2 linked regions of the Oryctolagus cuniculus genome follow. The protein of the gene in region 2 purifies or fractionates together with the protein of the main gene of each other region. This does not show direct contact. Links are inferred from orthologs where the notes say so. Each region holds a gene or a part of one and is shown on either strand. Other genes may lie near its edges.

The links.
Region 1: the proteins of RYBP (region 2) and MGA purify together in Homo sapiens (affinity purification with mass spectrometry; 5 studies listed by BioGRID and IntAct, counting the BioPlex papers as one, with this or other methods). This does not show direct contact. The link is inferred for Oryctolagus cuniculus from reciprocal best matches to the Homo sapiens genes YAF2 and MGA.

Annotation. Positions count from the first base shown.
Region 1 is NC_091443.1:64,837,862-64,849,339, reverse strand, and holds the end of MGA (MAX gene-associated protein), read right to left. Parts: intron 10,475-11,478; coding exon 10,363-10,474; intron 10,083-10,362; coding exon 9,849-10,082; intron 8,147-9,848; coding exon 7,967-8,146; intron 5,799-7,966; coding exon 4,519-5,798; 3' UTR 417-4,518; downstream 1-416. UniProt on the Homo sapiens protein: Functions as a dual-specificity transcription factor, regulating the expression of both MAX-network and T-box family target genes. Functions as a repressor or an activator.
Region 2 is NC_091441.1:76,866,977-76,878,454, forward strand, and holds the end of RYBP (RING1 and YY1-binding protein), read left to right. Parts: intron 1-6,054; coding exon 6,055-6,231; intron 6,232-6,323; coding exon 6,324-6,422; intron 6,423-6,819; coding exon 6,820-7,072; 3' UTR 7,073-10,793; downstream 10,794-11,478. UniProt on the Homo sapiens protein: Binds to MYC and inhibits MYC-mediated transactivation. Also binds to MYCN and enhances MYCN-dependent transcriptional activation. Increases calpain 2-mediated proteolysis of YY1 in vitro.

The sequences.
Region 1 (11,478 bases), on a different chromosome or scaffold from region 2:
CTGGGTATCATGCTGCCTTTGAGGTGCCAGTATTAGAAAAGGTTGTGCACTGTTTCCAGGCTTCATGAATTCATTCATCACAGAATCAAAGTCCTAGGTCCAGTGTGAATGTAAATGTTAACTTTTTTCTACACTAAAATTAAATACTTGCCATCCTACCTTCCAAATGCAGTTGAACTTTACATAAGTATTTTCATCATCCATATGCTACTTCACTTTTATTCTGCTTTGTGTATGTCCTAAACATTTATACATGGTGTCAGATTGTCAAATTTTAGATGTATGAGAGGGAAGAAATAGATGGTATACAGTTGTTTAGCATTACGCTAAATCAAATTCTTTCATTCACCCTAGGCTTAACATGCAAATAAGGTGCAACTGTAGGATTCTGGGACACTAACAGGCTAGAGTAAACATTTACTCATCAATTCAAATATTTATTGAGCACCTTTCCATGCAAGGCACTGTGAGACAGCTGAGACCAGTGAATGCAATTGCAAACAGGATGGGTCGAAAACAATGCTCCCAAGGCTGCTTTCCTATTTAACAGAATCTGTTCTACCAGCAGAGTTTACAGTAACACAATTTAATAGCCTAGATTTGTCCCCAAAATTTCCAGTTCCCATGGGGTGCCTCCCCACCCTCTAACACACCTCTACTACTAGTACTCAACACTTAGATGCCTTTGTGGAGCAGTTCAAATTTAATGTACTACAGGTATACCTCAGTCTAAAAGTACGTATCAGTTATTTCCATTATGCAAAAATGCATTTTAACTTATAACTTTCTTGAACTGGCAGTGAGTTTGAATTCTTTAGCTTTAGTTTTCTGGGCACTCAGCCACTTGTGAAATTTCAGTATCAAGAATACAATGACATCAAAGTACTGATGCCTTTACAGCACTTTCTTCAAAACGAATGATTCTGTGCAAGAAACATATTCTGATTCTTGGTTATCTCTATTAAAGTACCTGAAAATGTGCTGCCTACACTGCATGTTTTTTGGGTTTTGTTTATGAAATTTCTAGGAGTGAGGAACATGAACTATCACTATTTTCTAGATCAGTCTTCAAATTACATTTGATTCTCATTTTGCTTCATCCCATCCCATTTCAAAAATTTTAGCCAGTAAAAAAAAAAAATTTATATTGCTAAACCCTGCCCAAAATAATATATGGATTGTTTCATTTTCTTCTGTGTTCAAAACATTTCCATAATTCTGGAGAAAAACTTCATGAACTTCAACTTCATGAACTATAAAATTACACAAAGTGAACAAATTTGTAAGAAGCTTACATAACGGAGCTTGATCTATTAGTGACCTTAAATAGATTAAGAGTAGTTCAATGTCTAAATTTAATAAAATCTCTTCGTAAATTATGAAAATAATTAACATGTAAGAGGGTCTTCAAAAAAGTTCATGGTAAATGAGGATTATGAAGAAACTATGTACCCATCTCAAACTTTTCTCCAACAAAATAAACCTCTCGATCTCATTTTCCACAAACTTGTTAAAGTCCCCTCCCCTATCCTGACTTAAGAACACTTACTTGTCTAGCCACTAAGATTGTGTTCACATCTCATTATTCTCCAAGGTAACAGACTGGAGGAAGACTTCTGAAACATACTTGCCATCAAGTTGTACAAAATTTCAGAGCCTTCACATAAAACAAGCTTTAAGGATTAGAACACCGAAAACCTCCCCCCAAATGGCATGTCAGAAACTTCTGAGAACAGGAAGGAATTCCTATAATAAAACTACTTCAGTGGCACCTCTCTCAAATATACCTCAGGGCATTAGAATTCTTTATTTCCAACTCGGCACAGACCTCCCAACACCAAGTCCTGCTTTAAGTAGTATAACTGATTTACTTCAAGTTTATATTCTGCCTTTCAATCACCAAACTTCTTCTGTTCTTCGGTTTCTAAAAAAATAGTCACTTTTCAAAAGCAGAAAAGGAAAGATATATATATATATATTTAATATATAAAAGGAAATGCTAAATCTGGCATAATTATATTCTTAAAAACATTCCATTTATTTACAGATGTATATAAAAAGGCGAATTATTGGTGTAGTGAGATCATGCTTCTTAAAAGAGGGTGAGAGCGCACTGTCTTTCAGGTTCCTCAACTCCTCTCACTCTACATCTCAAAATCACATATGTAATTTTCATAATCAGTTTCTCCTGGGTCAACATTAAAGGGGAGGGGTTTTTGGAGACTTCAGATTTTTGTCAAAGACTACACAGCCTGTTCTAAAGACTAAGCCCTTCTCAAATTAGCCCTGGCAATTCCTAGTTCTAAGAGGTCTTAAGAACACTGTATGTTGGGAGTTTGCAATGACATCTGCAGCCTTCCCTGAACATCCAGAATCACCCCTCATTTCCACCTTTGTACATCTCTTATAAACAGTAAAATAGCCTCCAATCGATAATTATGACTGGTTTGCTTATTTTCTTCTTCTTATAAAAAGGAAAGCTCAGAAGCTAAAATGTTCAGAAGCTCAGAAGCTAAAATGGTCCTTTTCCTGAGGATTACTCACTTGCCTGCTCTTTGACCTTCAAAAGCCTTAAGAGCCTTGGGAAGTCAGGAGGAAACGGGAAGAGACAAGCAAGGAAACAGTGGGAAACTGCCATTACCTGGGTTAAAGTACTAGCATCTCCAAGGACAATTATTAGCAGGGAAGACAGGTGCTGGATTCCTTGGCTAAGGCATTGAATGAAATCTGCTGGGTAAAGAATGAAAGGGACAATGAGAAGCTGAGGAGCACTCTTTACCTACTTCATGTTTCTATAGCAACCCTCAATGGAGGAAAGGTTACTAAGTATTGATGAGCAAGCCTAGAAAGGTAAGCAGCATAAAACCAACAAAGAATGTGCTCTCACTTCAATTTGCAGAAGTTTCCCCACCCTTTTCAATCTGTTAATTACCAGAGTTAATAGAAAGGGAATCAAATATGGAAGTAACAATTCACTGGCTAGATACACTCCTCAGTTGGTCTCACAACCCAGTTCTGAAGATATGCTGAGTGGGATTTGGGATACAGAGACAAGGGATGTAGAACAAACAGAATCACCTAGGCACAGCCCAGGCACTGGAAGCTCTTGTGTTAGTGTTTTACAACACAAGCAAATCCTGTCAATGAAGACAGAACAGGGGTTACATTCCAAAATATAATTATTTAAGAAAGGCAAAATGCAGCAGCTAATTCCCAGTCTATACATTTTCAGAATAGTGATTCTTGCCCCTAGGAGTTTCCAAGAGACCCCTCAAGTGCACCATGATTATTTACAAACTAGATAGGAAACATTTCTATACTCAATACAAATCTCATCTTCTAGGTTGAAAACTTCAGCCTTTGAGAAATCTATGAAAACTATACAAAAATATAAATATCTTTATCTTTACAGGCTGTCAGTCCTTCATACCTTGACAGCTAATGAGTGAAAAATCTCTACATATCACTGAATCCATGGTTGCAGATAAAAAATATATCTTGTGATTCAAATACTGCCTTATTTCCCTGGTAGAGTGCCTACTGTGACTTTTCTTTACATCCTGTGCAGGTAATAGTGAATGAAACCTTCAAGCACCAGGAGACTGGTTTGACTCAGGAAATATCCAGCCCCACAATTTTTTTTTTTTTTTAATTTGGCCACTGTCTCTGATCTAGGGAGAAAATGCTTTTCATTTTAGCTATCTCGTGAGTGACATGATTTGTGAAAGGCAGAGGGCCCCCTTCTTTGCCTACGTCCAAAACCAATATTCCCCAGTAGAAATGCCTGGCATGGTGAAATGTCCTTTTCCAACATCCACAAAGACAACAGGGAAAACTTTTTTAACACCTCGAAGTAATTACCTTAATAGTAAAAGTTAAAAGTAACCCTACTTTACCAAAAGGCTTGAATTTATAATTCCAATAGAAAAAGTGAGGGAATGGAAGCTACTTGGGAGACCAAAGAGAAAATTTTGCTGAACAATACTAACTCCTTCACTTTGGTATTCCATGATAATCATTCTCTCGCTCTATTCTTGAAACACCTAAAAACTATCTGTTCTGGATCCCTTTTACACAAGTGCATCATATTCCTTAGATTTCAGACTTAACAGGACAGATATCAGCTACAGTTCAGTCCATAAGAGCCCCCAAGTCTCAAGCAGCTTTTTCTCTTGGGGTGGGGTGGGTGCTGGGAGATAACTAGGAATCACTACAGAACTAGTCTTGTTATGAATTCCTTGGGCAAGGGGGCACCTCAAGTTCAGTAAATGGATCATGTCTTCTTAGGATGAGGGGACCCAGCACCACAATTGAGGTAACACATTTAACATGATCAGAATTCCTTAATATTTCTTGTACCAGGGTCGAGCACCCTACCCTCTTTCTCTATCATTATTCGCTGCATCATCTAAGTCAAAGATCACTGTTCTATGACACAAATAAACAGATGCCTGCAGAGAAAGAAGGTGAGATCCAATTTTCCCTCACAATCTGGCTTCTGCCTGAAGACAAATACTTTCATTTCCCTGCAGAACCTGATGAGGCTCCAGAGTTGCCCAATTTAGCCATAACAGGTGCCAACGTAGGCATCACCTTGCTCTCCCGGCCTTCCTGGTCACTCCCTGTTAAGTTCATTTTATTTCCAACTGACCCAACTTTGGCAGCTACAGGTGCCAAGCAAGGCATCACCTTGAGACTCTGACCATCTGTATCATTAGAAGGATTAGCTACTTTTAAACCTAAAGGTGCCAACTTTGGCATAGGCCTCCACAAAGTATCAGTACTGCTGTTGTTCTCCACGCCAGTTTTCATCTGGAGGATGGGGGGCGAGGACATATTTTCAGGCTCTGTAGTGAGGCCAGAAGTACTCTTCTCTCCATCACTAGCTTTCCTATGGGAAAGGAGAGAGTCCTTTATTTCAGAGTCAATAACAATCTTAAGGACATCTGGCTCAGAAGCTGGTTCTGCAAGTTGTTTTTCATTCTCAGAAAAGTCATCATCTTCCAAATGTAAGAGGAGGGGACTTATGGAGTCACTCTCCCCCTGAACATCAGGTAAATCTTTCAAACCAGGTCCCAAGTGGCCAACCTGGAAAGTTGCTCTGTTCCCAGAAGGAAGTTTACTGATAAAAGCACGCCGAGCATCCCCTGGGAACTCTGTATCCACAGAGCTGGGCAGTTCAGCCATACTAACAGAGTCATCATTCAGCTGTTGATTAAGGAAGGCAATCTCATTGAGCAGTGATGTCAGTGTCTCATCAGTATCATCCTCGTCTTCCAGGTTCGTGAGCAATTCACTGGAATCCAGTTCTGCCTCCTCGATAGCTGATGCTACTTTCCTCAGTTCCATCTCTATGCTGGAGTCCTTTAGATCTTTCATCTTTAATTTATGAAATGGAGACTCCTTTGACTTCAGTCTCTCCCCTCTTGACTCACTCTCTTTCCATTTATAGTGAATTCCTCTCACATCACTAGTATTCTTTTTAGGTAAGAACTCCTGTACTTCCTGTACATTGGAAACGTCAACTATCTGTGGAAAACCAGAATCTTTATTTGCCAGAAAAACCTGTGTTGGACTCAACACCACTCTGCCATCTCTATGATTTCCTTTGGAAGAGATTCTACTCAAATCCTCTAAGGGATTATCTTCATTCCTGATGGTATCTTTCCGGTGGTCAAGTGGCTTGCCATCAGTAACTTCACGGGGATATTTACAGCCATCCATATCTACCAGATCTCCCTCTGTGGCCAGTGATGTCACATTAACGATCCGTGGCATCATAAATAAGTCATCATTTTCTGAAAAATAAGAAAAATTTCATTTAGATCTAAAACAGTGGGCACTCCCATCTTCAATACAATCATATCAAATGACCATCTTCACTAGTTTTCTTTTTCTCCTTAACTTATTTGACAGGCAGAGTTATAGACAGTGACAAAAGACACAGAGAGAAAGGTCTTCTCTCTATTGGTTCACTCCCCAAATGGCCACTACGGACAGCACTGCACCGATCCAAAGCCAGGAGCCAGGTGCTTCCTCCTGGTCTCCCATGCAGGTGCAGGGGCCCAAGCACTTGGGCCATATTCCACTGCCCTCCCAGGCCACAGCAGAGAGCGGGACTGGAAGAGGAGCAACCGGGACTAGAACCTGGCACCCATATGGGATGCCGGTGCTGCAGGCAGAGGATTAACCAAGTGAGGCACGGCGCTGGCCCCACCAGTCTACTTTCATCAAGATTAAAGAAGTACCAATGATCCAGTAAAATCCAACCAAAACTCTTTGATATTCTACCATTAATAAAGTGCTATTTACTTTTTATAGAAATCCTCCCCAAATTAATTCTTGTGCTGAAACAGAAATGTATCTTGATTCTGTTCAATAAATTGTTACTTTCAGTGGAAAATAAAAGATGGCATAGTAAGAGAAAAGGAAGAGTCCTCCAGAGAGGATTTAGAAGCAGGTACAAAGAACTGTTAGGCTGTCAACAAAGGAAGGAAGATTTTAACATACCCTTTTTACCTAAGCAGAGATTTATGGGCCTAGAACCTAAATCATCAAAATGATCTTTCCAAAATGATCTTCCCCAAAAGAGAATGACATTCAAAATGAATCAGGGGGTAACTGTGGAGTGTACCATTTCTGAGTACAACACAAAATTGATAAAATATTCATCAACACCAAGAAATAAAACAATGACTGAACATTTTTTTCACTTTGACATCTTTTTGATTCTTCTCTTACTTCGAATTAACAACAATACACAAAACAGTTCCCAATCCCAGGTAAAACATATCAATCAACACCACAGATTCAGACAAACATCTTTAAAATATATATTTATTTATTTATTTGAAAGTCAGAGTTACACAGAGAGAGAAGGAGAGGCAGAGAAAGATAGAGAGAATGAACCATCCACTGGTTCATTCCCCAACTGGCTGCAACGGCTGGAGCTGCGATGATCTGAAGCCAAGAGCCAGAAGCCTCCTCTGGGTCTCCCACGCGGGTGCAGGGGCCCAAGTACCTGGGCCATCCTCTACTGCTCTTCCAGGCCATACCAGAGAGCTGAGGATTACAAGTCGAGCAGCCAGCACTTAAACCGGTGCCCATATGGGATGCCGGTACTGCAGGCAGCAGCTTTACCCACTACACTACAGCGCCGGCCCCACAAACATCTTCTTTTTTTTTTTTTTTTTTATTTTTTATTTTTTTGACAGGCAGAGTGGACAGTGAGAGAGAGAGACAGAGAGAAAGGTCTTCCTTTTGCCGTTGGTTCACCCTCCAATGGCCGCCGCGGTCGGCGCGCTGCGGCCGGCGCACCGCGCTGATCCGATGGCAGGAGCCAGGAGCCAGGTGCTTTTCCTGGTCTCCCATGGGGTGCAGGGCCCAAGCACCTGGGCCATCCTCCACTGCACTCCCTGGCCACAGCAGAGGGCTGGCCTGGAAGAGGGGCAACCGGGACAGAATCCGGCGCCCCGACCGGGACTAGAACCCGGTGTGCCGGCGCCGCTAGGCGGAGGATTAGCCTAGTGAGCCGCGGCGCCGGCCCAAACATCTTCTTAAAAAAGGCCCTGGGGACAGCACTGTGGCATAGTGGGTAAAGCTGCTGCCTGTGGCACCAGCATCCCATATGGGTGCTGGTTCGAGTCCTGGCTGTTCCATTTCCCATCCAGCTCCCTGCTAATATGCCTGGGAAAGCAAGAGCACATGGCCCAAGTTCATGGGCCCTTGCAACCCACATTGAGGCCATTTGGGGAGTGAACCAGCATATGGAAGATCTTTCTCTGTCATTCTGCCTTTCAAACAAACAAATCTTTAAAAAAAGAAAAAAAAAAGGCTTATCTATTACAAGGCAAATGCCAACCTAACAGCTCTGTATCACCACAGTATATGTTCAAAGGCTTTTTTTGTCACTGTGAGAAACCAGGGATAACTTTCGCAACCTAAGAATACAACACTAACAACATACCTGACTGAGCTATAGCACTACTGGCAACTTGACAAGGCTTTAGATCAGGTTCCAAGAGAGCAGGAGAAACAGTCACCACTGGTCCTGAGAGCATGGGACCTTTCAACGTGAGCAACTGCCCCTGTGGAGTCATCACGAGGTTTGCAGAGGTGTGTGGAGAGTTAGAAGGTGAGGTATTTTCTGTAAAGGAGATTAAAAATTAGTTATGGAATTTAAAGACCTTCAATTAATTTGGAATGAAACCCTGGAGCCTAAGAGTGTCTCTAAAATCACACTCTTACTTAAAAAGGAAAGAATTTCAGTGGCTGGTGCTGAAGCAGAGCAGGTAAAGTGGCTACCTGCTGTGCTGGCATCCCATATAGTTGCCAGTTCGAGTCCCAGATGCTCCACTATCAATCCAGCTCTCTGCTATGGCCTGGGAAAGCAGTAGAAGATGGCCCAAGTGCTTAGGCCCCTGCAGCCTTGTAGGGGACCCAGAAGAAGCTCCTGGCTTCGGATTGGCTCAGCTCTGGCCATTGTGGCCACTTGGGGAGTGAACCAGCAGATGAAGACCTCTCTCTCTCTCTCTGCCTCTATGTAACTCAGCTTTTCAAATAAATAAATAAATACATAAATCAAATTTTTTTAAAAAAGTAAATTTCAAATTCAGTTAGGAAAACAAAATTCAAAATTTACTTTCCTGGAACACTTTTCAATGAGTAATGGTTACCTGTCTACTGATTCTCCTAAAGAAAAGAATTAATTTTTTGAGGAACGGAGCTATGGAACCACCTTTTCAATGGGATGCTTGCAAAAGTCTTGATAGTGAGAAAGGAAGCATACAGAATTCCATCCCTGGGCTTCCCTTCCTATCTATGTACCTCTAGCAAATTAAGTTGCTAGGCTTCAGGGTTCTCTCATCTGTGAAATGAGGTGAAAGAAGAAACGGTCATTAAACTTCTTTTGATTTTTGCAATGTTAAACTATCTCAAGTTTTAGTATCCATCACTATATCACTATCTTAATTTCATATAATACACCAGATTTCCTAATTTACACACTGTATTACCCTAAGAGTAAAAAAGGGGTATGTTCTTCCCTAAGGATATAAATAATATAAAATCGATACAGCCTCACCTTCAAAATCAAGAGAAGAAAGAACTTAAAACCAATTTACTTTATTCCTTAACAGCATTGATAGGTGATCTGATGAAAAATAGAATCTTATGCAAAAACATTTTTTTAATTTCCAATTTATTTGCCTTAGCTATACCAACAGTTCCTCAACCAATCAGCAGAATCATACAAAGTGAAAAAAAAAAAAAAAAAACACTAAAAATATGTGACTGTAGACTGCTATCAGAAATAGGACTTACATGTTATCATGATCTATAACTTCTCAGGATTTGTATAAAGCAAGAAACTAAAATACAGGGGCTGGCACTGTGGTGCAGTGGATTAAGCCACTGCCTGCAGTGTCAGTCAGTATCCAATAAGGGCGCTGGGACTTCCCGGCTGCTCTCCTTCTGATCCAGCTCCCTGCTATGGCCTGGGAAAGCAGCAGAAGACGGCCCCACGTGCTTGGGCCCCTGCACCCACGTGAGACCTGGAAGAAGCTCCTTGCTTTAGCCTGGCCCAGCCACAGCTATTGAGGCCATTTGGGAAGTGAACCAGTGGATGGAAGATCCCTCTCTCTCTCTGTCCCTCCTCCTTTCTAATTCTGCCTCTCAAATAAATAAAAAAACAAATCTTTAAAAAAATCCCAAAATAGTTAATTTTTTAATAGAACCTTTAATTAATTTGAAACCTTTAATTAAAACTAAATTTTTGGCCAAGAGATGTGCAGTACCTAAACTAGACTGATGCTCATCTACATCAAAAAAGCAAAGAATGTCCCTCCTACCTGTGGCCTGGTCTCTTTTTCTGGAAAGAATCAAAGGTTTCCCCCTCCTGTTATTTATAAACATCTGTCCGAGATCTACAGACGATGTACAAGATGCTTCCTGCTGCTTGTTAGTTCTGGGAGACACATCAAACTCATCTGATCCCATCTTCTTTTTTCTTTTTTGTGTCTCTAATGCTTGTTGTTTTGCATAAATATATTCTAGCTTCTTCAGGACCACTTCTTCTGTCTTACCTACAGGTTGATAATGAATAAATGATCACTCTTTGTGTGACTCCACGTAATAATGAGAAATATAGTCAACTTGAGTCCAGCTGACTTAACTATATTGTCCAATACTATGAAAAAGGCAAGAGTGACTGCAATGCAAAGGAAATATCCCACCCAGTCAAAAGATAACTCTGCTGCAAACTCTGAGAGCAAAGTCTTACACTAAGTGTATCTGAAAAGTCTATTAAGGATTCCCTTTGCTAAACTTACTATTAATTTACCACAAGTAATTTACATATCTTACCTGAAAGAGATGATACTTTCCGTATCAGAATATTCCGTTTTCGAGTCAGGAGATTTTTCTGTCCTATCAATTTGTCTGCCTGATCTGTTAGCCCCTGAATTTCACTGAACGCCTAGAATAGAAATAATCAGGTCAGTTAACCTACTCTTTCCTCAAAATAGGCAAAGCCTACATAATTTGTTTAATAATAAAAAAGTTCAAATATTTTAGAGGACTCCATAGTACCATTTAAAATAATTACTGATGTTTCAGAAACTCCTTTTTATAATTCTCCAACTTAGACTTTGGTAATCAACTTTAAAATAAATTTGGCTAAAATAATTCTGCTCTAAGTGGATAAGAATGCTTACTCATACTTCTCCAACTTCTACTTAAAAGCAATTCAGGCCGGTGCCGCGGCTCACTAGGCTAATCCGCCTGCGGCGCCAGCACCCCGGGTTCTAGTCCCGGTTGGGGTGCCAGATTCTGTCCCGGTTGCACCTCTTCCTGTCCAGCTCTCTGCTGTGGCCCGGGAAGGCAGTGGAGGATGGCCCAAGTCCTTGGGCCCTGCACCCGCATGGGAGACCAGAGGAAGCACCTGGCTCCTGGCTTTGGATCGGCACAGCACGCTGGCCGTAGCAGCCATCTGGGGGGTGAACCAACGGAAGGAAGACCTTTCTCTCTCTCTCTCTCTAACTCTGCCTGTCAAAAAAAAAAAAAAAAAAAAAAAGGCAATTCAAATGAAATTATCTTAGTGGCTGACACTGTGGCATAACAGCTAAAGCCACTGCCTGCAGTGCCAGCATTCCATATGGGTACTGGTTCGAGTCCCAGCTACCCCACTTCCGATCAGCTCTCTGCTATGGCCTGGGATAGCAGTGGAAGAAGGCCTAAATCCTTGGGCCCCTGCACCCATGTGGGAGACCCAGAGGAAGCTCCTGGCTCCTGCTTTTGGATCGGCGCAGCTCCGGCTGTTGTGGCCATCTGGGTAGTAAACCACTGGATGGAAGACCCCACCCCCCCGCCTCTGCTTCTTTGTAACTCTGCCTTTCAAATAAATAATCTTAAAAAAAAAAAAAAAAACTCAGGCAATTTATGTACATAGTTTGAACTTTTGCTAGCCTGAGTATTACAAAC
Region 2 (11,478 bases):
AGTTACAGACAGAGGGAGAGATGGAGAAGGGTCTTCCATCCACTGGTTTACTCCCCAAGTGACCTCAATGGCCAGAGCTGGGCCCATCCAAAGCCAGGAGCTTTTACTGGGTCACCCATGTGGGTGCAGGGGCCCAAGCAGTTGGGCCAAAAGATGAGATTTCTTTTAGCCATAGTGTAACTTTAACATGCACTTTGCAAAGAAAAAAAAGTACAGATCACAGAGCATTTTCACACATTTGGCCTATCCGATTTCCTGAAACTGGATTTGATCGGCAAGTACTGTTGAATAATGACTACACACAGAACACTTTGGTGTGTTCCAGCTGGGATAGGTACATTTTGGGGAGTGATACAGAGCTCCAGTCATTGCTGAAAGAAGGTACGATCCATCCAAACTGACCTTGTACATGTAGAGTTTTGGGACAGAAAAGCAGGTCACATGGACAAGGTTCCTTTTAATTGCAGCACTGTGTTGAGACCTATCATAAAGAATCCTAATAGAGTGTGCTTAGTTGAGGCTGCTTAGATTGGTTAAGTTGTCAAAGTTGCTCATTCTCAGCTGACAGATTGCCAAGGCAAAGAAAGGTTTAGGGGCATGTAAAGGAAGTGCACAGTGAGCCCTGAAGGACATTGTGAGCTGATTTGATGAAGACATTTTGTAGGTTGATCTCGGGTTCCCTTGAGTACACAAAAGGAAAAAGAAAAGAGAAGGTGTATATGGAAGAAATCTCTTAAAAAGACAAGATTTCGCCTGTATGACCCCAAAGTGGTGTGAATATGCCTATGAAAGCAAAAGGATTTTGCCTTGTGTTTTTATGTTCGTGAACACTTCTCCTTTGCAAAAATTAAAGATGTTCCCCGATAAAGATTTGCTTCTTTTTTATAGCCCAGGCTCATGTGAAATAAAACTAACTTTTTAAATGTAAACAATTAGACGTGTTTTCTTGATGTGTATGATTGACGTTTTATAGCACATTTTCATTTGTAAGCTATTGAAATAGCAACGATAAACCTATAAAATGTTTCCACAAAGATCTGCCAAACTTGTAAGGGAGACAGCACTGTTTACTCTCTTGTATATCTGGTAAGTAGTTTTCCTTTGTGGAGGTGTGTGGGGGGGGGGGTGTTGGTTTCAAATTGAAGCTTAGATGTCAGAAGCTCAAGTGGACATGTTTTGATCTAATATGTCCAGCATATGGTGAAGACTGTTAATTGCTTCTTTTTAAGGTTTATTAGGTGGGAAACTTGGGATGATCCTGGAGATTGAGATGTTCAGCTCCATTTTGAGGGATTGAGTTTCTACCACTTGTTGAAAGTTCTGCCCATTGACCAAGAGCTGTGTACACTATGTTATATGATACTTAGATGATATCATTGACAGTGAAAATTTGTGGAAGGTCACTATTTCTCACTGATGAACTGTGTTAAATGTAAAGGTAAGGGTTCATTCCTTACCCGTGGTATTCCAAGGACAGTGAAAACAAAGAGAGCAGGTTTTCCAGCTCCTCTGCCCTTTTTGTCTGCCACAGGACTACCAAGTAGTCCTATTCTTGATAAAGCAAAGCATAGTGATGCTAATAAAGGCAGTGGATTCTTGGGGAGATCCCTGGCTAAACTGGAATCTGAGTTGACCTGAGATCTCATCCCTGGTATCCTGTGCCAAGTCACATCACAGTCTCCCACCCCCACTCACGAACAGGAAAAAACAAGTCAGAGCTCTTCAAAGCGGGGAGACTAGTTTGAGGATACCTTTGTAGGAGAGTCCAAATGGAGCCAGGTTCAGATCTCGGTTCAGCCACTTAACTGTAAACCTTGGACAAGTTTCTCCATCTCTGCTCCTCAGTTGTCTTAATTTGCAAAGTGGAGATGGCAGTTACTCCTGGAGGGGCTGTTGCTCTGAGTCTAGCTTCCTGATGTGCCTGTGCCATGATGGCTACAGAATGACCCTGCCTTTTATGCTGCAGGTCCAATCTGTAATAGGCAGTCTGGAGAACCTGGTGCAGCCTCCACTGTGGTCACTGGACAGTCCCTGTTCTCCCACAAGCAGTCAGGAGAGCATTGCTGAGAGGCAGGTGGCACGAGCTGCTGGAGCAGTTGGAGAGGATGGCACCTTTATGAGGGAGGGCACACTGGTGGTCCTTCGGTTTCCCTTCCCTTCCCCTTCCAAAGGTGAATTTCCTCACCTCACCCCTCCTCCCAAACCTGGAAGTAATGTTGCACTTGCTGAAGAACTAGTAGTGAAAAATGACTACTGATTAATAAATCCTGTTGCTGAAGAAAAGGTTTTGCTGAGGAAGGGACAAATGATGGCTTCAGAGTTGGGTTGTCACTGGGGAACAGGGTGTGTGTAGTGCAGCATGTGGAACACAGCAGTACCTTTCAGGTGACACAGGTGGTTTAGCAGATGTTCCTCTTTCTCTGGGTAGTAATCGAATCCCAAATAGCCTTGGGCCCTTTTCTCTTGTGAAATTGCCTTTTGTTGTGTAAAAGGGAGGAATGTTAATTTCACCACTTTAAGTCAAACATTTTTTTAGGAGCCAGTGAGAAAGTGTGTATTTGTGCTCAAACACAGCAGTCCGGAATTAGAACTGGAGTTGAGCTTATTGTTCATGTAGACTTTGTCCTACAGATACTGTGCTGTGTTGCAGGCACTGAAGAATTCCAAGGGTGGATTTGCCAGCAGCAGAAGCATTTAGATGAACACCTTACTTCTGTGTACCAGTATACTGTTGCAAACAGTAGCCTTGGCAGCTAACTTTAAGGGAACGATCCGTTCTGCATAAACATACTTCCTGGGTAGCCAAAAACTACTTCTTGTAAACATGCCACATTCATGCCATTGAGAGTAATTCATGAGGTATTAGTAACTTCCTTTTTTGTCTGTTCATCGCTAACTCTCTTTCCTACTACAGTTTTACACACATCCAGTCTTCAAGTTTTATAATCTCTTTGATTTCTCATTTCCAGGTTCGCTCCCCACCCCAAGCCCTGTAGTATCCAACTGAGACAGCCTCCCCAAGTTGACTTTTTTTTTATTATTAAATTTATTTGTTTACTTGTTTGTTTATTTGAAAAACAGAGTCACAGAGAGACTTCCATCTGCTGGTTTATTCCCCAAATGGTTGCAGCAGCCGGGACTGGGCCAGAACAGAACCAGGAGTTTCAACCAGGTCTTCTATGTGGGTGCAGGGGCCCAAACACTTGGGCCATCTTCTGCTGCTTTCCCAGGCGTATTAGGGAGCTGGAACGAAAATGCAGCAGCTGGGACTTGATGCCGGCTCTGTAGGCCATGGCTTAACTGCTGCTCCACAGCACGGGTCCCAGAATTGACCTGTTTAACTAGAAAGACAGTTTACTTAGCATTCCTCTCTTGCCTCAGTAGAAAGTGCTTCTGTTCCTTTCCTCAGGGTTTTTCTGGATGGTTCTCTGTCCTTTGCCCCTTTCTCTTGCTTGCGCCCAGTCCTCCCTCCTTCAGTGTACTGCATGATTCAAGACCTCTTTGCTTTAGAAATCTTCCCTGGAGGGCCTGGCACTGTGGCACAGCAGGTTAATCCTCTGCCTGTGGCACCGGCATCCCATATGGGCACTAGCTGCTCCTCTTACAAGCTAGCTCTCTGCTATGGCCTGGGAAAGCAGTAGAAGGTGGCCAGGAACTTGGGCCCCTGCACCCTTGCAGGAGAACTGGAAGAAATTCCAGGCTTCTGGCTTCAGATCAGCCCAGCTCTGGCCATCGTGGCCATTTAGGGAGTGAACCACCGGATGGAAGACTTTTATTGACCTGGCCCTGAGCTGGCTAAACTTGGTGACAGAGGTGGGAAGAATGAGATCTTTACCATTGAGGAATATGTGGCTGATTGGCAGTTATGGGGCCATGTGGTAAGTGACATCCTAGAGCATCATAGGTATCCTGAAGTGAGACACAGCTTTCAGACTCAGCATGAGTGCTAATTAAGCTGCGGGTTCTCTGGGGCCAGGCATCTGACTTAGCTTTGAGTCTCCCTCTTTTTAGGGTCCTCTTAAATTGAAATCCAGGTACCTTCTCTTGTTCTTGAGTCATACTGCTCTGGAGTACAGTACACATACTGGCCCAATTGAAATTCTCCCTCAGAGTGTAGCTTTTCAAAAGTTTGAATGGTTTATTCATATTATTAACCCATTTCATTTTATTTGAAGCCCTGAGTGTTGATAAGTGTATGGCACCTTCACTCTAATTCACCTGGCTTGGTTAGCCCCTTAGCTGATGTGTTGTGTCTCTCCTGAGTGCTTAGAAGTATTAGAAGACTTTTCTTGTCATCCATATAAGAGACTGCAGAGGGAAACTTACCTGTTACATACAAGCGTCCTCCCTGTGTTTGAGGGGCAGGGGCTCAGAGGAAGGATGTTTCTACTTCCTATGTGTTTGAGTCTCTTGCTCAGTGGTGAGTGAGGCCACTTGGGTTCTTGGCAGAAGTGTGCTTTGAGGCTAGTGGTTTCATGGTGTGCTAACCTACGACCAAGGCCTGTGTTGTTGGAGGCTGATAGGAAGTTTGCTCTGAGATTGCACTTAACATCAGATATGTATCCTTGCAATCTGTGCTGCCACCCAGCCAGCACATAGGTCAACCTTAATGCAGTTGTGGAGTAAGCATGTGTCTGTTGCCAGCCACCTTAGACTCCCTTCCAAGAGATGCTCCAGGAGTAACCCTGCTTCACCCAGGGAATCATGCCATGTACCTAGAACAGCAGAACTGTAAAAAGGCAACCTTACTCTGTTTTCCTAGATGGGTGTTTCCTAATCCTTCAACACAGACTCCCCGCCATGCCTGAGCTAGATCTGCTGCTCTGCATTATTTTCCTCTGGGGGTGGAGAGAGCTGTAGGATCTGAAGGTGACCATTAAGTTGTGGCAGACGGTTGTTTCGCCTTGTTAAGGACTCACTTGGGTTTTGTGTTTGGGAAGTATCAGTAGAGATGTCTGTATAGATGGGAATGTCTTTGAAAACTAACATTACAGTAGCCCCTCCCCTCCAATCTAAGACTCCCTTTTCAATTGTGCACTGTACTAAGTATCACAATGAAGTGCCAGGTCCTCCCGTGCCACCCTGACCAGGACACTGATTGCCTCTTTGTCCTGTGTGTCCACGCTGTATCTGCTTCTCAGCTGTTGGTCACTTAGTAGCCATCTCTCAGATCAACAGTCAGAACAATAGTGTTTATACACACACACACACACACACACATACATAGGCTTTCATTCTGGGTTTTCAGGCATCCACTAGTGGGGGTAGGGGAGAGGGCTATAGTATATAGAAAGAATCCATAGGTATTCTTTTCTCCTTTTCTCTTTTGGGTGTATGAATGGCTAGGCCCTGTGAATAGTGTTTGGCACCACTTAGCATTTGTGAACAATAGTGCTGAGAGCCAGTGTCAGTTGGAGATTGGCACGATATGATGGTTGATGCCACAGTGAATGTGTCGTTTGTCTTGAGAGTTCTTCATGGTGACTTTGAACCTTCACGGCCCTTTGGGAGCTGGTGTGAACCAGTGTTACCTTTTATTGCTCTGGATGTGTTATCTATGCCAATCACAGAGCTGCAGGAGAGCAGACCAAGTCAGAATAATTAGATTGAGGAGTGAATGTCACACTTCTGATTTCATTCTCTTTTCAGGGGATTATCAGTGTTCATTTAATAAAATGAGATTAACCCTCTACAACAGAGTTATTTGAAAGCTGTCAGTCAGTATTATCTTGACAGCTCAAAAGAAGTAGTGTTCTCAGCACTGTTAGAAACACTGTCATGCTTATTGGCCAAAAGACTATTTTACCGTATGGGGCTACATGTGTTTGTGTTAGCACACGTCAGTGTTTCATTTCCGTTGAAAAAGAAACCATACTGTCTCAAAATAATAATGTAGAAATAAAACCATATAATGCATTTTCTGTTGCTGGCTATCAATCATGAAATACCTCAGAAGTTAGGAGATCAAACAAAAAATTCAAAGAAATACTTAAAAGCAAATAATGATACTATTTATAAAGCAAATAATGATACATCTTTTCTTGGTTATTTTAGGAAACCTCGAATCAATTCTCAGCTGGTGGCACAGCAAGTGGCACAACAGTATGCCACCCCGCCGCCCCCTAAAAAGGAGAAGAAGGAGAAAGTGGAAAAGCCAGACAAAGAGAAACCTGAGAAAGACAAGGAAATCAGTCCTAGTGTTACCAAGAAAAACACCAATAAGAAAACAAAGTAAGTCCCTGGGTAGCAAAGTACAGTATATTACTTGGCAGGTGAACCACAAGTATCTTCTAAATGCTGCTTTTTTGTATCCTCTCTTTCAGACCAAAGTCTGACATTCTGAAAGACCCTCCTAGTGAAGCAAACAGTATACAGTCGGCAAACGCGACAACAAAGACCAGTGAAACGAATCACACCTCAAGGTACTTTAATAGAAGAAGTTGTGGTTCTGGTGGATTTGTCGTCATCCGGAACTGCAGGGTGGTTTTGTATTTGTGGATCTCTAGGCTAAGAGATACGGGCGGAGGGGCAAGGTGTTTGTTGACCTCTTTATTACTTTAAACTACTTCTCTGTGAGGGTGGTGCAAGTAAGAGAGGGGTAAATTAATAAGAATTTTGCAGTGGATCCGAAGTGCTGCGAGCCCAGCAGTCATTTCCGTGATTGCCAGAGTTGACGCGCACACTCCGCAGCCAGCTTTGTCATGGTTGTTAGGAAGTTTGGATTCACTGCCGTGGTGTCGTGATGACTGTAGGTGTGTTGCTGGTGTTTTGCCAGCATGACTTACTTAATTGACTGTTCTTTCATGGTGTTGCTTTCAGGCCCCGGCTGAAAAACGTGGACAGGAGCACGGCGCAGCAGTTGGCAGTGACTGTGGGCAATGTCACCGTCATTATCACAGACTTTAAGGAAAAGACTCGCTCCTCCTCGACATCCTCATCCACAGTGACCTCCAGTGCAGGGTCAGAACAGCAGAACCAGAGCAGCTCGGGCTCAGAGAGCACAGACAAGGGCTCCTCCCGTTCTTCCACGCCAAAGGGCGATATGTCGGCAGTAAATGATGAATCTTTCTGAAGTTGCACATGGAGTTGTGAAAACTATGAATCAGGGTATGAAATTCAAATCCTCCACCTGCCCATGCTGCTTGCACCCCTGGAGAATCATCTGTGGACATCGACCTCTTAGTGATGCTGCCAGGATAATTTCTGCTTGCCATGGGCATCTGGCCACCAAGGAATTTCGCACCCTGACGATTACTCTTGACACTTTTATGTATTCCATTGTTTTATATGATTTTCCTAACAATCATTTATAATTGGATGTGCTCCTGAATCTACTTTTTATAAAAAAAAAATCTGCTGTGCACAATTTTCCATGTACATTACAACTGGTTTTTTGTTTTTGTTTTGTTGGAGGGAGGGTTGGGAGGGGGAGGGAACTTTTATTTATTGTGTTCACAAACTCCATCCTTTCAGCATATCCTTTTAAGTTTAGTTCTTTCTTCAAGTTATACTATGTACTATCAGTTTTGATATAACTATATATATATAAATATAAAATTATATCTAAAGGGTTATTTGAAACCAATCCATGGCAGCGCTGGTGCTTGATACACTGTGAAGTGAATACAGCATTGAACAGTCACAGAAAGTGCTGAAATTAAATTAAAGTCAGTCTTACATGAAGTGTGTTCCAACCCATGTGGGAACTGGACTCTCATCTGTCTAAAGAGTACTGGATGATATAAAAATATATATTTTTTCAAACAATGTGATCTCAAATTTAAAGACTGCTCCAGATAGCCTGCATTTGCGATGGAATAACTGACAAATCACAAGTGGTTTAGTTGGGGAGGGCTTTGATCACTCAAAAGTAACTAAACTAGCTCCAGAATGCCAAGTATTCGTGTACATTACGGTTACATGTTAACATTGCTGTCTTACATTAGCACTCATGAAAATATGGTATTCTGTAACTCGAATTCCATCCGTTTTCCAGACCTCTACTCATGTCTGAAGGTAAACCTAGAAATTGTCTCTTAGTTTTAGGATTGAAAGCGTCTGAGCTGTGTTTTTGGTCCATAGGAAGCAGCCCCTTGTTCCCACTCTGCACATGACATTGCAGTGGCAGTTGCTCTGATTGAAATGTGTGTGCCTCCATGTCCCCTCACTTTTCAAACTTTCACCTTCCCCAGTTCTGTTGTGAGAATGCTTTGTCTGTCTTTCTTGAAGCCTACTGTGGTTGGTTTTATGGAGCAAAGGTTATCTACCGCACATCCGGTCCTGACGTGGAGCTTTGCAGTGTTCAGAGACATTTCTCAATTCCCTGCTGTGGGAAGAACTCAAGTAGCGAATGGCTTGAGCTGTGGCTGCCAGAGGTGCCGGGAGAGCTCACACTGAACTGTGAGCGCCTGTGATCTTTTTCTTCCTCGACGTAAAGATAGCTTGAGCAAAATTTTCAAGGTTTTCACTCTTTTTTTTTTTCTTTACTGTCTTGAAAAAATCAAAGACCACTAGGATGATTCCACTTCTCCTCATTCAAACAACAAATTCTTTCGCTTCGCTTCTGTTTGATTGGAGTCTCTCTTTGACTTGCATTCATACCGACGGAGTTTGTAGTACTTCCGAGTCATTGCAAGCATGAGGACTGATGTCACCTTCCTTTATTTGGTCATACCTTTAAGGGCTCACGGGAGGGCAGGTAATGTAATGAAGCACCATGTTTTGGTGTGAAAAGCCTGGTTTGCTATTAATCAGGATTAATTTCTGTCTGGAGGCAACAAGTTAAAAAAAAATTAACAGCTTGAATTGAGTAGCCAACAGGAAAGGTTCCTTTCACATTTACATTAAAACTATTGTGCAGTCACTGATGTTCCATACTTTAGATTCTGTTCTGGAAGGTCTAGGTAACGAAGCAGTGCCATTTGTTGCTGTGATCCTACTCTCAAATGCATGGACAATGTTCCCTTCTTTTTAAAAGTAACGCTTGTGTCTGGGATGCAAGCTATGCTTATCTTTTTAAATACATTTTTAAAGTATTTATTAATGAACCAAAGGAAATTAGATGCTTCCCATAAGCATCAGAATATATAATACATAGTAATTTGACTATGAATTTTAAATCCACATTTTAATATTAGTGGGATATTGCAAAGACATTCCTTCTAAAATTTTAATAGTCCTTTTATTAAGGGTCTCAGGGAGGGTAAATTAGTCAGCCATATTTATTTTCCAGAGGTGTAAGGGATTGCTAAGTTTTTTAATTAACTTTTTAAAAGAAAAAAACTTAAATACCACCAAACTCATATGTGGGTTGCACTGCTTTTTGAACCAATTAAGTGTTGGTATGCACTTTGTTCAGAAATACTGTGTACTTTTTCAAAATTAGTTTCATGTAAAGTGATTGGACCCCCTAGATTAGTGGAAAAAGCTGATTAACCAGCTACTCATAGGCTGCTAATTAATTCATTGCCAATGTCTTGGTTCTTCAGTTTTGCCTCCGTGATAAATTAAAGAATGGGGCGGGGTGGAGGGAGAGGAGTAGCTCTAGAACAGGTGGTAGGAGCGGCAGCCAGTGGTTGGTGTCATAAGCACTCAGGTGAGAGTGCGGAGTACCCCTCTGCTGCTGCTGTGCGTCCTGTTGGCATCGCGAGGGGTAGGGACCTCGGACTTGGGATTCCTGAGATTGATGACATCCCTCAGGCATGCATTCTGGAAATGGAATTCCTGTAGACTTCGCATTTGCTGTTTGCCCTACAATTAGTAGGCAGTGCGTAAAAACACTAGTGTAGATGATGAGGAGATATATTAAAAGAGGACCAGAAATATTTGGTATTCAGTGGCACAGAAAGCAGGTTACAAGACACAACAAAAAGCACAGTGTTAACGCTTGCAGTTCCCCAGTTGTTTTATTACCACACGATCGGTCACGTTTGTGCGTGCATGCGCACACACATAGCTTACCTGACTTGCTCTGTTTAGTCATGCAGCTTAAAAAAAAAAAGACATCTTGACACCCACAAAATATGTTAATCTGAACCTTTCTGTTTCAGTCTGGTTATTTAAACAATATTGGCGAAGCTTCTGTGAGTTTAGTTCCACTAAGACGTTTCACCTGCCTTACCAAGACCATTCTCAGTCTACTTTTTTAAGCTACCATATCTTAAATTATTGAAAGTTTATTAATTGCTGAGTATATAATAACCTTTGCTTGTATGTAACCGGAAATGGTTTAAGAGCCAACATTTAGAGTATGACAATGGAGCTGAACAGTTTTTAATGCGCAAGCCGTTCTGTTCTTGTGTATGACTTGTAACCTTAATTTACTGTGTAAAGATGGTTACATTATTTCCTTAGCTTTGTTTGTTGGAGACAAATAGAGAATGCTTGTTAAGTATGTCAAAACATAATCTTATCTTGTGAATTTTTGTCAATGTATTATACGAGCTCTATTTTTCCTTTGCCCAGAAAGACAGCTTGTATAGCGCTTCTGGAAGTTTCTGCTCTGCAGCGTCTTTAGAGCGGGCGGTCTGTTGGGTTTGGTTTTCCTTCATGCTAAAGTGTCAGTTGGTGGTTTTGTGAACTGGTCAGAAATTCACAGGTCTTAAAGGTTTGGGGGAGATTTATATTGGACACTGCTCTTTGTCTAGCAAATAAAAGATGTTAATATATTCCTGTTACTGGCATGTGCACGACCATGTTATTAGAAGCCACTTTATCATTTTCCTGCTTTAAATAGAAATGTCTATTTATGAATTCTGCTTGTAGTTTTTTCACAAATAAAATAGTAAAATTTACCTTGGAAATCTTTATTATTTTTGCATGTGTGGATTTTAGCCCTTAGCAAGAAAAAACAGCTCCTTGTACCCAGAAATTCTAACTTAGAATATTTCCAGTTTGACCAGTTTTTTAGAACTTGAGGTGTTGGATCAGAAGCTGAAGTTGCTTTGGGTGTCTTAATGTGTGTGTGTTTCAAGGATGCCACGAAAGACATCGCTGAGGAAGGGAGTGTGTCCTACAGATGGGGCGCGGTGCTGTAGAGAAACGGGGGTGGCAGCTAAAGGTGACTCGTCCAGGGTTCGTGGGCAGTTGCATGCAGGTGGCGGGCCGAGAATAGCAGGCTGGCACTCAGCCCACCCCGAGGCCCTGGAACCTACTGGGAATCCGGGAACCACTTAGATCCGTCCCTGGGTACTCTTTGCCCTGGGTCTGCACTTGAACTGGTGCTGCGAGGAAGACGGTGAATTGTGCAACAATGTGTCCTGGTGAAACCTAGTGCAAGCTCTGCTTCACAGCCTTCACAAGTGTGAGGAGGGCTTGAAGGGGAGGCGAGGATGGGCCACAAGCCACGCTTTGCACACCGACAGATAATCTTACCCTCAGCCTTCTGTTTCAGAGGGTACCTGAGGGGTCCTTTGTGAGGGTGCCCACTGCTGGTGACATCCTTCAGGGGATGCCAGGAGCTTCTCACTAGGTGTGGGC